2 linked regions of the Callithrix jacchus genome follow. The protein of the gene in region 1 interacts with the protein of each later gene in a pairwise test. Links are inferred from orthologs where the notes say so. Each region holds a gene or a part of one and is shown in the gene's direction. Other genes may lie near its edges. The genes, in order: BPTF and MAZ.

What was found.
Region 2: the proteins of BPTF (region 1) and MAZ interact in a two-hybrid assay, tested with the Homo sapiens proteins (2 studies listed by BioGRID). The link is inferred for Callithrix jacchus from reciprocal best matches to the Homo sapiens genes BPTF and MAZ.

Annotation. Positions count from the first base shown.
Region 1 is NC_133506.1:90,439,049-90,446,518, reverse strand, and holds the start of BPTF (nucleosome-remodeling factor subunit BPTF), read left to right. Parts: upstream 1-2,443; 5' UTR 2,444-2,667; coding exon 2,668-3,292; intron 3,293-7,470. UniProt on the Homo sapiens protein: Regulatory subunit of the ATP-dependent NURF-1 and NURF-5 ISWI chromatin remodeling complexes, which form ordered nucleosome arrays on chromatin and facilitate access to DNA during DNA-templated processes such as DNA replication, transcription, and repair.
Region 2 is NC_133513.1:29,700,471-29,708,012, reverse strand, and holds the start of MAZ (myc-associated zinc finger protein), read left to right. Parts: upstream 1-3,320; 5' UTR 3,321-3,631; coding exon 3,632-3,823; intron 3,824-3,907; coding exon 3,908-4,761; intron 4,762-5,175; coding exon 5,176-5,239; intron 5,240-5,377; exon of another isoform or gene 5,378-5,516; coding exon 5,517-5,688; exon of another isoform or gene 5,689-6,087; intron 6,088-6,197; exon of another isoform or gene 6,198-6,377; intron 6,378-6,497; coding exon 6,498-6,700; 3' UTR 6,701-6,721; intron 6,722-7,031; coding exon of another isoform or gene 7,032-7,192; 3' UTR 7,193-7,542. Other genes in the region: kinesin-like protein KIF22, read left to right, coding at 388-556, 947-1,014, 1,755-1,967, 2,059-2,241. UniProt on the Homo sapiens protein: Transcriptional regulator, potentially with dual roles in transcription initiation and termination.

The DNA of each region.
Region 1 (7,470 bases):
AAAGTAGAGCAGGATGAGGACTTTGGCCAATGGAAGTGCCCATTTTTATTTATTTATTTATTTTGAGACAGAGTCTTGTTCTGTCGCCCCGGCTGGAGTGCAATGGCGCGATCTCCGCTTACTGCAACTTCCACCTCCTGGGTTCAAGCAATTCTCCTGCCTCAGTCTCCCAAGTAGCTGGGACTACTGGCGCCCCACCATGCTTGGCTAGTTTTTAGCAGAGACGGGGTTTTGCCATGTTGACCCGCCTTGGCCTCTCAAAGTGCTGGGATTACAGGAATGAGCCACCACACCCAGCCCTGGCACCATATTTTGTTTAAAAAGGGTGGCTGGCTGTGGTCTATAAAACCAGCACTTTGGGAGGGAGGTGGGTGGATCGCTCAAGCTCAGGAGGTTGCAGTGAGCCACAATCACTGGGATGATATATACATAAAGTTTCAATTTATGTGTCTCCAAATAAAATTCTCACTTCCTCACTACCACTTTTTTTTTTTTTTTTGAGACAAGTCTTGCTGTGTCACCCAGGTTGGAGTGCAGTAGCACCACCTTGGCTTACTGCAGCCTCTGCCTCCTGAGTTCAAGCGATTCTCCTGTCAGCCTCCCAGGTAGCTGGGATTACAGGTACCCGCCACCACGCCCAGCTAATTTTTGTATTTTTAGTAGACAGGATTTCACCATGTTGCCCAGGCTAATCTCCAAGTCCCTCAATTGATCCACCCACCTGGCCTCCTAAAGTGATGGGATTACAGGCCTGAGCCACCCTCTTCAAACAAAATACAGGCACTTCCACTGGCCTAAGTCTTTATCTTGCCTACTTTATTGACTTACGTAACTCGCCTGGTCTCTGGAGATACATACACATTTGTCACTTTTGAAGCTCAATCAAATTGTACTGAATGCATATATTTGGCAATCAGTGCTTGTATTTTAATTTTCATTTCACATATATGAACACAACTTTCACATGTGAAAAATTTCACAAATGTGAACACAATTGTGAACATAAATGTGTTCATATTTGGTGTATGATGACCACGAGAACGAGGAGGAGGAGGAAGAGGTGGACATGGTCTCCGAGGAGGAGGACGGCGAGGCCGAGATTGAAATAGCCATTTGGTGGACAGAAATCCTGTTAGGTATTTTTGTTTCTTTTTTTTCAATTTTGAGACAGGGTCTTGCTCTTTCACGCAGGCTGGAGTGCAGTGGTGCAATCACCACTCACTGCAACATCTGTCTCCCAGGCTCCAGCGATCCCCCCCATCTCAGCCTCTCATGTAGCTGGGACCACAGGTGCACACCACCATGCCCGGCTAATTTTTCAATTTTTTTCTAGAGACGAGGTCCTGATATGTTGCCCAGGGTTGTCTCGAACTGCTGACCGCAAGCTATCCTCCGGCCTCCGTCTCTCAAAGGGCTGGGATTGCAGGTATGAGTTTCCGAGCCAGGCCAACTATTTTTCTTTAAATTACTTTTTGGTTGTCACTTATCTCAAATATTCATATAAGTTTATAAAACCTCTTATCTGAAGAGCTGCCCTCAACCACTCACGGTTGAGTCCCTGTGATAAGGTTTGAGGGTGCCTGAAATGTCATCATGATTCGTCCCCTGGGCTAAGCTGAAACTTAGTGACTTGTCAGATAAATAAATCAAGGTTATTTCCCGATAATACAAACATAACACCGTGAAGTAGGTTTTTAGGCAGGATTTCGTTTTACACTGCAGAGGAGAGGGAAGTTCCTGCTGAGGTGGTAGCGGTCCTAGCTGGGGCACTGGGAGGGTGGCGGGAGACTGGAACGTGCAGTAGTTGCGTTCTGGAGTTTCCTGAGGCTTTCCGAGTGGGGGTTCCACGGAATAGGCCTTAAAGTGCCCCTCCCTCCGGGCGTGGCTCCTGGCACAGCGTGGAGCAGTTGTCATTCGAGTCAATTTCAGGACTCCAGCTCCCAGGTAAGGAGTTTCCTAAATTCTAGGAATTTCCCTTCGTCGGTGGCGCTGCCCAGTGTCCTCGGTCGTTCGGCCGCCCCGCTCCTATACCTTTTTTTCTTTTTCTCTGGCTCTTTCAGCATCAGTTTCCCTAGGGGGCCGGGAGGGGAATGATATTTGGGGGCTCTCCTGCCTTTCTCTCCGAGCCGCGGAAGGGGAGACGCGGGGAGGAGGTCCGGCAGGCTTTGGCCTCCAGCCAGGGGTCCGCGGAGACTATGGTCTCCGAAGGCCTTTGACACAGGGGCATTTCGCGAGCTGCGCACCCGTCTCTGCCGCGCCACCCGCGCCCGAAGTCCAGCTGCGCCTAGCTGCGCCGAACCCAGAAGCCCCGTGCTCCCCGCCCCCGACTCGGCGCTCCCGCGCTCCCCCTAGCGGCCGCTGCGCCGCCTCGCTCCGTCCAGGCTCGTCGGCGGCGCAGCTCACGTGACCGCGCTCCGGGCCTGCGGCCGCTGTCGGTTCCCCCAGTCACCGAGCGAGAGGGAAGAAACAAGATGGCGGCTGAAGGCGATCCGGAGTGGGGCCCCAGCAATTCGGATTGAGCCTTCTCCCTCCACCCGCTTCCGCCGGCTGGGCCCCTCCCGCCCGGCCCCGCGGGCTTCCCCACCCGGCCCCGGCGCTCCCCACCGCCCCCCCTGCGCCCGCCCCTCCCCCTCCGCTTTCCCTTCTCCCCCCCGCCTCGGCTCCGACATGAGGGGCCGGCGGGGCAGGCCGCCCAAGCAGCCCGCGGCTCCCGCTGCGGAGCGCTGCGCCCCGGCCCCGCCGCCGCCGCCGCCGCCGCCGCCGCCGCCCACGTCCGGACCCATCGGGGGGCTCCGCTCGCGGCACCGCGGCAGTAGTCGGGGCAGGTGGGCCGCCGCCCAGGCTGAGGTGGCGCCCAAGACGCGGCTGAGCTCGCCCAGGGGGGGCAGCAGTAGCCGGAGGAAGCCGCAGCCGCCGCCGGCCCCCCCCAGCACCAGCGCCCCGGGCCGGGGGGGGCGAGGAGGCGGGGGAGGCAGGACGGGGGGCGGGGGCGGCGGCGGCCACCTGGCCCGGACCACCGCGGCCCGGAGGGCCGTCAACAAAGTGGTGTACGATGACCACGAGAGCGAGGAGGAGGAGGAAGAGGAGGACATGGTCTCCGAGGAGGAGGAGGAGGAGGAGGAGGACGGCGACGCCGAGGAGACCCAAGATTCTGAGGACGACGAGGAGGATGAGATGGAGGAGGACGACGATGACTCCGATTATCCGGAGGAGATGGAAGACGACGACGACGACGCCAGTTACTGCACGGAAAGCAGCTTCAGGAGCCATAGTACCTACAGCAGCACTCCAGGTACCCACCCAGCCCAGTTGCTGCAGACTCCTTCCCCACCTCCTCTGCCCTCCCCCCTTCCTCACTCGTGTGCTGTGCATCCTGCTCCGATCTCCCCCCAACCCCGCCTTCCCCCCAAACAGAGGGGAAATGCGACGGCACATCAAGTGGCAAAAAACTAGATTTACAAGAGGAAAGAGGCGCATTGTTCAAAATGGAGATTGCATTGTTGCAGTTTGCAGGCCACACTCGCTTGCTCTCTCTCCCCCCAACCCCCTCTTTTTCCTCTTCAAAATTTGTGCCAGTGCGATGTCTCCACCGGGCAGGATTGAAACTTTGGCAGACACGTATCCATTGCATTCATTTTTCTTCCCTTGTTTTGGTGTGGTTTTCTGGAATGAAAGAAGCCTCTTGTTTTGCAAACCTCTTTGCATTTCTAATATGGTTTCTTTCAGATTTTTATTATATATCTGTTACTTAAAAGGGAATTAAGGATTTGGGCAGATTGTGGCACACAAACACACACAAAAACATGCCTGTTTTCACACCCCTAGCTGTGGTTTTAAAATTGTGTTAAGGAAATGGATCATTTGGGTTAGTAGGGGAACTTTATCTGGTCCTGCGTGTTTGTTTTTATTCTTCGAGTGCCAATGGGCTCATGCAACAGTTGCTGGTAAATGGCTGATGAAAAAGCAAAATAGAAAGCCAAACAAGACCCAACCAAATTTGGTAATTCATCCGATTCAAAATTGTTTTGGTTAAGTCAAAAATAAAAGTACAAAACCGCAGGAACGCTTGTCTTAACTCATTTGATCGCTTTGCCTGGCTTGGGAAATGCAGTTTCGTGTCACCTGTTGCACAAGATGTGTAGTTGATCCTCTAGACATAATTGCCGAAGATGAACTTTTTTCTAAGTCATGTAGCATCAGTATCAGATTTATTACACGACGACTTTTTCTTTTCACTCTATTTCTGAGGAAAAAGCCCTCACAGAAATCCGTAATGAATTTCTCCATGGTAACCCCTCTTCTGTTTTCTCACAAAAAGTTTCTCCAGGCTGGTGCTGAGATGCATTTTGTTAAAAACCCCTCACCCTCTTCCAAAAGACTGCTTTGTATTAAATAGGTAGTTGAAATTTACTAAATTGTGAAATTAACATAACCAAAGCAACAACTGGCAAGACTTTTCCTTTATAATTTTGCAAATCTAGATTAATTAAATTAGAATCTGGTTTTAAAAGCATTTGAAAAATAAAGTTTATGAGGAAATATTTGTGAGGAAAAAGGACCTTTTTTCCTTGAATTAAGGTGTGTCATGTCTTTCTCAGAGAGACTCGGATAGTAGAAGTGGTTAAATTGAGAAGTTTCTGTTTTTTATAAATGCTTACTTATTGGAGAAGTAGAGTAGTATTATATTAAGCCAAATGTAAACCCACATGAGTTGTCCTAACAAAGTGAAAAAAGGTAATTTATTTTGCCTGATGGTCAGAATGGTTGCCTGGCTTGTGAGGGTTGGGGGGGACTATGTGGAGAATGAAGGGAATGAATCAAGTGTCAGGTATTTATGTCTTAGATGTAGAAAGGACTACAGGTAAATTCTTGCCAACTTAATTTTAGCTCATCTTTTTGTTTTTGAGACGGAGTCTTGCTCTGTCGCCCAGGCTGGAGTGCAATGGCACGATCATGGCTCCCTGCAACCTCCACCTCCTGGGCTCAAGCGATTCTCCTGTCAGCCTCTTGAGCAGCCGGGATTACGGGTACCTGCCAGCATGCCTGGCTAATTTTTGTATTTTTAGTAGAGATGGGGTTTCACCGTGTTGGCCAGCCTGATGTCAAACTCCTGACCTCGTGATCTGCCCACCTTGGCCTCCCAAAGTGCTAGGATTACAGGTGTGAACCACCGTGCCTGGCCTAGTACACCTTTTATGGTAATAATTTTTACCTTGAGAAATCACTTGTTGGTCTTCATTATACACAGAACCGATAATTGAAACATGGAGACTGAATTGCATACACCCCTGGAGGAAGTGTTTCTGATTAAACAGAGCTGAGACATTTTGGCAGGGCAGTTCAGCTAACTTTAAGACCTATTTGAAGGCCTAGCAAATAATATATAGGATTGATAACTCGCATATGCTGACTTAAATTACAATCTGTAGCTAGGTGTCATTTAAAAAAATTTATTTACTTATTCTTTTGTGACATTTTGTTTTTCTTTTTTTGAGATAGCATTTTACTCTTGTTGCCCAGGCTGGAGTACAATGGTGTGATTTCAGCTCACTGCAACCTCCGCCTTCCGGGTTCAGATTCTTCTCCTGCCTCCCGAGTAGCTGGGATTACAGGCATGTTCCACCATGCCCAGCTAATTTTGTATTTTCAGTAGAGATGGGGTTTCTTCATGTTGGTCAGGCTGCTCTGGAACTCTCGACCTCGGATGACCCGCCCACCTCGGCCTCCCAAAGTTTGGGGATCACAAGCATGAGCCACGGCACTGGCCTGACATTTTCTTTTCCTTTTTTCTTTCTTTCTTTCTTTTTTTTTTTTTTTGGAGACAGAGTTTTGCTCTTGTTGCCCAGGCTAGAGTACATGTGGTGATCTTGGCTCACCGCAGCCTTCACCTCCTGGGTTCAAATGATTCCCCTGTCTCAGTCTTCTGAGTAGCTGGGATTAAAGGCATGCCCCACCACACCTGGCTAACTTTGTATTTTTTGTAGAGATGGGGTTTCACCATATTGGTCAGGCTGGTCTCGAACTCCCAACCTCAGGTGATGTCCCCCCCTGCCCAAAGTGCTGCAATTACAGGTGTAAGCCACTGAGCCTGGCCAACCGACTTTTTGTTTTTCTTAACGATAGTTGTAGCCTAGCAGGTGTCTGTCTGTCCTTCTTTGTATGGAATTATTAACTCGTTAGAGATAGGTATTGAGCTTATTCCACCTGCAGCTCCTATAACAGTGTTTGGCATCTAACAGGTACTCATCAGAGATTGGTTGGATAAATTGTTAGCAGATGAGAGCTTATAATAGATGAAATTTTGATAATTTTGCGGTGGGTGTCATAACTCCTAAATCTTTGGACTTAGGAAATTAAAAATTGGTCTAATTGGTTTTTGTTTGTGTTTTTTCTAATTGGGTTTTGATGGACAGTTTGGTCAGTGAATGTTTTTCATTGCAAGAGTTATTTTTTTTTTTGAGTTGCTATTTCATATTGCTTGCCAGGCATTTTCTTTTATTGGCTGTGATGTTAATTTGGATGTCTTACCTTTTTAAGATTACAGTACAATGGATGTGACTTTTTTCCCCTTATTTCTTATACAAAGAAAAAAAAACGAGATACATGTGCAGAATGTGCGGATTTGTTGCATAGGTATATGTGTGCCATGGTGAATTGCTGTACTTATTAACCCATCCTCTAAGTTCCCCTCCCCTCACCAACCACGCGCTCCAAGTGACATGTTGCGTTCTAAACTTTTAGAACATGCCCACTTGCCTCGAATGGCTAACAATGCATGGCAGTGAGTTGTTTCGGCTAAGTACTAGTTTCGTTGGTTTGTAGTCTGTACTTCCCCGGAGGAAGGCTGTCAGGTAATGTGTAGATGGAAGAAAAAAAAGTTATAGAACTGGTTAAAAATAGTCCAATAACACATAAAGAAGTATGATTGATGACTTTCAATCCTGTTGAACAGTGAAAGCTGAAAGAGGAATTTACTTCATTGGTAGTTTAGAGCAATTTGATTAATTTTTATAGTTTACAGTGTTGGCTTAAGTACTGACAATGTAACATTCCTAACATAAGAAATAACTCCTAATATAAGAAATAACTCAGTATTTTATAGACAATATAACTTGATGCAAAGATATTAGTTGACATTACTAAAGTCTTCAAAGTTTATTCATTGAAGATTGTTTTCCTTTTATGGAAAAAATGTAAGGATGATAACTTTTTAGTATAAAATTGAAGTCATCTAGTTTTGCTTAAGCTAAAGGCATATGGCTGAATAATGTTTTGAATACTTTATTTTTACTTTTTAAATTTAGAATTGCTTCAGCCTATAGGTTTTATGATATTGCCAATATACTGAGAAGGATTGTATAGAAAGTGTTTTTCAGTCAGCATTTGGTAAAGTTCTGACAGCACTTTGAAATTAAGCATTTGCTAATTTTAAGAAATTATATTTAAAACAGTGGTTTTTATGTTTTGGTC
Region 2 (7,542 bases), on another chromosome or scaffold:
CTGAACCCAGGAGGCGGAGGTTGTGGTGAGCAGAGATCTCGCCATTGCACTCCAGCCTGGGTAACAAGAGTGAAACTCCATCTTAAAAAAAAACAAACAAAAAAAACTACATTTCCTAAAACCTAGCTCAATTGAGGACACTCTGCTTGAAGAGCCTTTCTCTTCAATATTTGCAAGAGCCTTGTTCCACCTCTGAGTAGCCCCCTGATCACAGAAAGCCCTTAATTATTGTAGGCTTCACCTGTCTCCTGGTAACTTCTCCCATTGGTCCTTGCTCTGCCCCCTGGGGCCTCAGGGCCTTGCATATACACCCTGGTAACTTATTGCCCTTCAAGCTGCCCGGGAGTTGGGTCTGGGTTATCACATCTCCCTGATCCTTTCCAACAGAGGCTTAAGATGAAGCAAAAAGAACTGGAGGCCAAGATGTTGGCCCAAAAGGCTGAAGACTCAAAGGAAAAGGAGAACCATTATCCCACAATGCTCCGGCCCCTTTCGCATCGCACAGTCACAATGGCAAAGCCCCTGAAAAAGGCTGTGGTGATGCCCCTACAGCTAAGTAAGTTTGACTCCAGGGGCTGGGGGATGCCAAGGCAGCTGAGATACCATAAGGGAGGAGGTGTTAGGAGCAGCTGTCTTCATGTCATTCATGTTCTCCCACCATATGCCAGTCCCAGGGAGGGCTGAGGAGGCTCTGAGGCAGGATTGGGGGTGTTCTGCCCTCAGGTGTTTAGTACAGTGGGATGGACAGACAAGTAGAGGGTTGATGACAATGCAAGAGTGACTGAGATACTTCAAATACAGGTATAAAAAAGGTCATGTGGAGACACAACAGGTTAACTCACGGTGGAGGGGAACTGGGGAATCAGAATTGGAAGAACTGAGGGGCTACCAGGGAGGATGAAAAGTAGCCTCTGCCCTGACTCCAATTATCAATTCCTGCTTTCAGTTCAGGAGCAGGCAGCATCCCCAAATGCCGAGATCCATATCCTGAGGAATAAAGGCCGGAAGAGAAAGGTGAAAGTAGCTGGGGGCTTAGGCTACACCTGGACCTCAGAAATAAGGGGGAGTAGGCTCTAGGGGGAGGAGCATTGGTCTTGGAGTTAACCCACTGGGCGATGGCCGCCAGCTATTTACAGGCCTCGACTTGCTTACCCCTGGAATGTGGCGATGGATGGCTCCTTGCAGGGCATTTAGGGTGAAAGGCAGTGATGTGGATGTACCTAGCAGAGCGGATGTTCCCTTCTTGATAGCTACTGTCAGTTAACTACTTCACTAGGTCCACTGTGTAGCCTGACTTCTGCCATCTACAAGCTTAAAAGGGAAAACTTAGGGAACTATGACCTAAACACTCAAGAATGAAACCACACACATGTGCGCACACTGGCATGCACAGAGTTGAACACCACTACGACTGAAAAGCTGAGATGGTTGAGGGAGGTATCATTTATTCATATTTTCTCCCATGTACTTCTGAAAGAGCTTATTCTTTCCTTTTTAGAGATGAGAAACCAGATTGAATAGCTTATTTTGTTCTTTACATTCATTAACTCACTTGACCGCCACAGTAACTCCATGAGAAAGATGCTAGTACTTGGTATCAGAATTAACCCAGAGTGACCTGAGGGCAGGATTTTGGATACACTTGAGAGGAAGAGGCTGGAGCACGGGAGGTAGCTGGTGCTGGGCTAGTCTTGGCAGAGGAGCCCAAAGCACTTGGCTGCCGTGCATGTCACTCACCACCCTTTGCCTCCCAGCTGGAGTCCCTGGATGCCTCAGAGCCTGAGGAGAAGGCAGAGGACTGCTGGGAGCTACAGATCAGCCCGGAGCTTTTGGCTCATGGGCGCAAAAAAATACTGGATCTGCTGAACGAAGGCTCAGCCAGGGATCTCCGCAGTCTTCAGCGCATTGGCCCGAAGAAGGCCCAGCTCATCGTGGGCTGGCGGGAGCTCCACGGCCCCTTCAGCCAGGTAACAGCCCCCTGAGGACTGGGGGAGGGCGGGGGATGGGGGAGACCAGGCACCCCCGAGACACCATCTCCTACCGATCCTGTCCCGCCAGGTGGAGGACCTGGAACGCGTGGAGGGCATAACAGGGAAACAGATGGAGTCCTTCCTGAAGGTGAAGTCACAGCCCTGCCCCTCGTTTGCCTGTCCAGCACCCCGCGCCCTTCTAACATCGCTGTCCCCGCCCTCCTGTGTTGCAGGCGAACATCCTGGGTCTCGCCGCCGGCCAGCGCTGTGACCTGTCTTGACCGCCGTTTCCTCACTCCGCCTTTTTTAAAAATCCTTGTATAACCCCGTGTTTGTAAATACAGTTTTTGCTCCGGTGCTTCCGCCTGATTTTTGGGGCTGCGAGGGCGGGACCGGGGTGTGACCGCCCCAGGGTGGGCCGCGAGTGCTGCCGTCGGCTCCGCTGGGCGCCATCTTCGGGGAGCCACTTAGCCCTGGATTGTAAATAAACCTCTGGAGCAGGGCGAAGAGGACGGTGGCCGGCAGGATGCAAAAAACGAAAGTCGAAGCTTGAGCGCAACCGTTAGGCGGGCGCGCTCACGGATTAGCCCCGCCCCGTCCGTGCCCCCGACGCGCGCTCCCCCATTCTCCCGCTTAGCAACGACAGCAGCCTTGTGCGCGTGCGCGCGAAATAACGGCCGCTGGCGGAGGGAGGGGGGTGGAATCGTTGGAGGGGGGAAGAGGAGAGAAGCCGCCGGTCTCCCGCGCGCCCACCACCTGCGCCATCGTCAGCCAATCAGCAGCCGTCTCAGGGGTCTCGCGCTCGGGGCGACTCGGGCTGCTGGGTGGCTCCCCCGTCCCTCCTCCCGCCAGTCCTCTCGCGCCTCCCCCTCCCGCTGGCCCTGCGCGCACCCGCGCTCGCGCTCGCGCCCGCTCCAGCCTCTTGTGTGTCCTCGCGCCCCCCGCCCGCCCTCCCCGCGCGCAGTGTGCTCCGCTCCCCCCACCCTCCTCCTCCCCCCGCCCGCCCCGCGCGCCTCCTCCCCGGGTTCCCCCTCCCCCACTGCCGCCTCCTCCTCCTCCCGCCCCAGGGTGAGCGCGAGCCACCTCCCTCCCTCCCTTCGCCATGGATCCCAGCAACTGGAGCAGCTTCATCTTCCAGGTAACAACCCCCTCCCCCCGCCCCCACCCCCCTGCCCACACCCCCTCCTGCCCGCCCTCCCTCCCGTCCCACCCCCCCTCCGCGCGCCCGGTGCGCGCGCAGCTGTCCCCCTCCCTCCCTCGCGCCCTCCCCCGCCCTCCCCGAGGCGCCGGCTGGGCGCGCGCGCGGCGGGGGCCGAGGCTGCTCCCTCGCTCCCCCCACCCCGCCCCGCCAGGCTCCAACCGCCGCCGCCGCCGCCGCCGCCGCCCGGGCCCCCGCCCCCGGCCCCGGCCCCGGCCCCGCGGGGCCTCCCGCCCCCACTCAGGGGGCGTCGCCGCCGCCGTCGCCGCGGCGCTCCGCGGCCCGCAAGGCGCCCTCCTTCCCTCCCGCCGGCCGGGGTGCGCGGGCGGCGGGGCGGCCCGCGGGCCATGCGTTCGGCGCGGCCCAGGCCGGCCGGCCGGGGGCGGCGCCCCGAGCCCGGGCCCTGTGCGGCCCGCGCCCCCGGCCCCCGCTGAGCCCCGGGGGCCCCGCTGCGGCCGAGGCCATGTTCCCGGTGTTCCCTTGCACGCTGCTGGCCCCCCCCTTCCCCGTGCTGGGCCTGGACTCCCGGGGGGTGGGCGGCCTCATGAACTCCTTCCCGCCACCTCAGGGTCACGCCCAGAACCCCCTGCAGGTCGGGGCTGAGCTCCAGTCCCGCTTCTTTGCCTCCCAGGGCTGCGCCCAGAGTCCATTCCAGGTGAGTAGGGCCCGCCGCGGCGGCCAGGGCCGGGGGGGGGCGCCCGCCGGCACCCGCGGCCCACTCGGCGCCTTGTTTCCGCAGGCCGCACCGGCGCCCCCGCCCACGCCCCAGGCCCCGGCGGCCGAGCCCCTCCAGGTGGACTTGCTCCCCGTGCTCGCTGCTGCCCAGGAGTCCGCCGCGGCCGCTGCGGCCGCCGCCGCCGCTGCTGCTGCCGTCGCTGCCGCGCCCCCGGCTCCGGCCGCCGCCTCCACGGTGGACACAGCGGCCCTGAAACAGCCCCCGGCGCCCCCTCCGCCACCCCCACCCGTGTCGGCGCCTGCGGCCGAGGCCGCGCCCCCCGCCTCCGCCGCCACCATCGCCGCGGCGGCGGCGGCCACCGCCGTCGTAGCCCCAACATCGACGGTTGCCGTGGCCCCAGTCGCTTCTGCCTTGGAGAAGAAGACAAAGAGCAAGGGGCCCTACATCTGCGCTCTCTGCGCCAAGGAGTTCAAGAACGGCTACAACCTCCGGAGGCACGAAGCCATCCACACGGGAGCCAAGGCCGGCCGGGTCCCCTCGGGTGCTATGAAGATGCCCACTATGGTGCCCCTGAGTCTCCTGAGCGTACCCCAGCTGAGCGGAGCCGGCGGGGGAGGGGGAGAAGCGGGTGCCGGCGGCGGCGCGGCCGCAGTGGCTGCTGGTGGCGTGGTGACCACGACCGCCTCGGGGAAGCGCATCCGGAAGAACCACGCCTGCGAGATGTGCGGCAAGGCCTTCCGCGATGTCTACCACCTGAACCGACACAAGCTGTCGCACTCGGACGAGAAGCCCTACCAGTGCCCGGTGTGCCAACAGCGCTTCAAGCGCAAGGACCGCATGAGCTACCACGTGCGCTCACATGACGGCGCTGTACACAAGCCCTACAACTGCTCCCACTGTGGCAAGAGCTTCTCCCGGTGTGCACGGGGCCTCGGCCGCCCACTAGGCCATGGGGAGGGAGGGACGCGACAGAGGTGGCCTGGCTGTGGCTGGCGGGGAGGGAGGTGGCTGCTGAGGCTGGGGAAGGGGAGCTCCTCCTAGGGCGGAGGGAGGAAGCCTCTCTGGGTTACCAGGGAGCAGGGGGTGGTCCTTTGCCGAGGAGGTGGGCCTTGGGGTTGACGGAAGCTTCTCGTGGGAGGTGGCGGCGGAGGCGGAGGCGGAGGCGGCCGCGGCTGCCGGGCTTGGAGGGGAGGGATTTCCTGCCGAAGTGGCGCTGTGACGGCCCGGGCTCCGGGAGGAGGCGCAGGGATCCTCGGAAAGGCCTGTGGTGCTGTTTGGCGGTTTTGGGGCTCACCGCTTCTGCCCTAACCCCAACCCCAACGTGTCCCCAGGCCGGATCACCTCAACAGTCACGTCAGACAAGTGCACTCAACAGAACGGCCGTTCAAATGTGAGGTAGGAAGCCCGCCGCCTCCAGTCCTGGTTTTCATGATTTTGATCCTCATAGTAGCTGTCTGAGTTCAGCCTCTCAGACCCCCTTTTTCTCTCTCTTCTTTTTGCCTTTTCACTCCATTTTCTCATTCCTTCTTCAAGGCCTCGTCATCTCACTCCCGTTTCCTACAGATCAAAGATCCCCAAGGCTCTGATTCCTTTAACCTCTTGCTCCCCCCTCCCCAGCCCCCGAAGCTTTAACTCTCCTGTGACACCCCCCACGCCCCTCCCCCCTCCCCAGAAATGTGAGGCAGCTTTCGCCACGAAGGATCGGCTGCGGGCGCACACAGTACGACACGAGGAGAAGGTGCCATGTCACGTGTGTGGGAAGATGCTGAGTTCGGCTTATATTTCGGACCACATGAAGGTGCACAGCCAGGGCCCTCACCATGTCTGTGAGCTCTGCAACAAAGGTACATGCTGAGTGAGGGCTGCCGGGAGGGCCAGGGGCAGAGGGTGGGCGCCTGGCCAGACGCCCTGCCACTGATAGGAATTAAGGGTGCTGTAGCCAAGAACTCGTGGCGTCTAGAGTCCTCCAAGAGGTCAAGGGAGCAGCGGAGGGGGGACACCTGAATGAGCGTCGTTAGGCTCTAGGAAGTCCTGGCTGGAGGAGAAGATCTGCCGGAGAGGTTGAACCTCCTGGGCATGTGTAGGGAGAGCGGGAGTGGAACTTGGCTGCTCTGGGTAAGGAGTAGTCAGGGAAGCCAGTTCCAGGGGTCACAAGGCAAGGTTTCCGCCAGGCAGCCACAAGGTCTTGTCTCCAGCTCCTGGGGCAGTTGGAATACACGGGCTTGGCTTTACCAGCACATATCCTGCCCGGGTAGCAGAGAAAGCTGCCTTCAGTCAGACTCACCGACTAACTGGGTTGAGACTGGGAGGCACTGGAGGGAAGGGGACACAGCCGTCTCTGCTGAGGGTCAACCTTATAAGTGGCTAGGAGTCAGTGTCCTGTCATCTTGGGAGAGGTCTCCCGGCCATGAAGAGTGAGCTCTGTAGGTACCCAGGCTGAGAGGCAGGCACCACGCAAGTCAGGCCCCAGGCTCAGGGAGGGGCTGTACCCACCAGTCCCAGCAGAGCAGTTGGCCCCAGGCTACCAAGGATGCTGTGGGAGGAGGACAGGGCCATCTGAGGAGGGCATCCCCCGCCTAGGAGATCAGCCCCGTCTCTGGGGTCTCCGTCTCTGGGCTGACCCCCGCCCCATCCCAATCCACCCCCCCAATAGGCTTCACCACGGCAGCATACCTGCGCATCCACGCGGTGAAGGACCACGGGCTCCAGGCCCCGCGGGCTGACCGCATCCTGTGCAAGCTGTGCAGCGTGCACTGCAAGACCCCTGCCCAGCTGGCCGGCCACATGCAGACCCATCTGGGGGGGGCCGCCCCCCCTGTCCCAGGAGACGCCCCCCAGCCACAGCCCACCTGCTGAGGGGGACCCCGCACCCACCAGGCAAGGCGTGGGGCATGGCTGGGGGGCGGGATGGGGGGTGTGGGGGACAAGGGGGCTCAAAGGGCCCAATAGGGGATCTCAGGAAGGCAAGGGATGCCCATGTGCCACTCAGGCTAGGGAGACTTCCAGGCACAGGGAAGACCCTTGAGAACTCCTCTGTCTGGGTGAGGATGCAGGCTGAGGCCTTTGGGGACCAGATAGGAAGTGAGCAACGGCTGTGTCCCAGGGGAAGCAGGCTGGGAAGGTCTGGGGTGAGGGCAAGGCTCTTGCCATTCAGATTGCGCTGTGATCCGTGGTGTTTCTCCTGCAGGTACTGGTGAGGTTTGTCCAATGGCGGCGGCAGCAGCAGCGGCGGCAGCGGCGGCAGCTGCGGCAGCGGCAGTAGCAGCTCCTCCCACAGCTGTGGGCTCCCTCTCGGGGGCAGAGGGGGTGCCTGTGAGCTCTCAGCCACTTCCCTCCCAGCCCTGGTGAGCTCCAAGTTGGTTGTGGGGGAGAGGGGAAAATGGAGTAGAGTCCCTTGGTACAGGCTCCTCTCCCCCCTCTTTTTCCACCAACTCCTCACTACTTCCCCACCAACCAAGGAGCCTCCGGAAGGAAAGGAGGAAGAAATGTTTTAGGGGAATTCGCTAGGTTTTAAATGATTTGTTTCTCCTGCACCTTTCTTCTGTCAGACCTGACCCCACACAAACCTGTCCCCTCGGTTGTGTTGAAGTCCCGTGGACAGTGGGCAGGGGTGGCAGAGGACAGGAGCAGCCACTGCCCGTACCCCCTCTCCTCTCTGTAAGCCTGTGCCCTGTCCTCCCAGGGACTTGTGAGCCTCT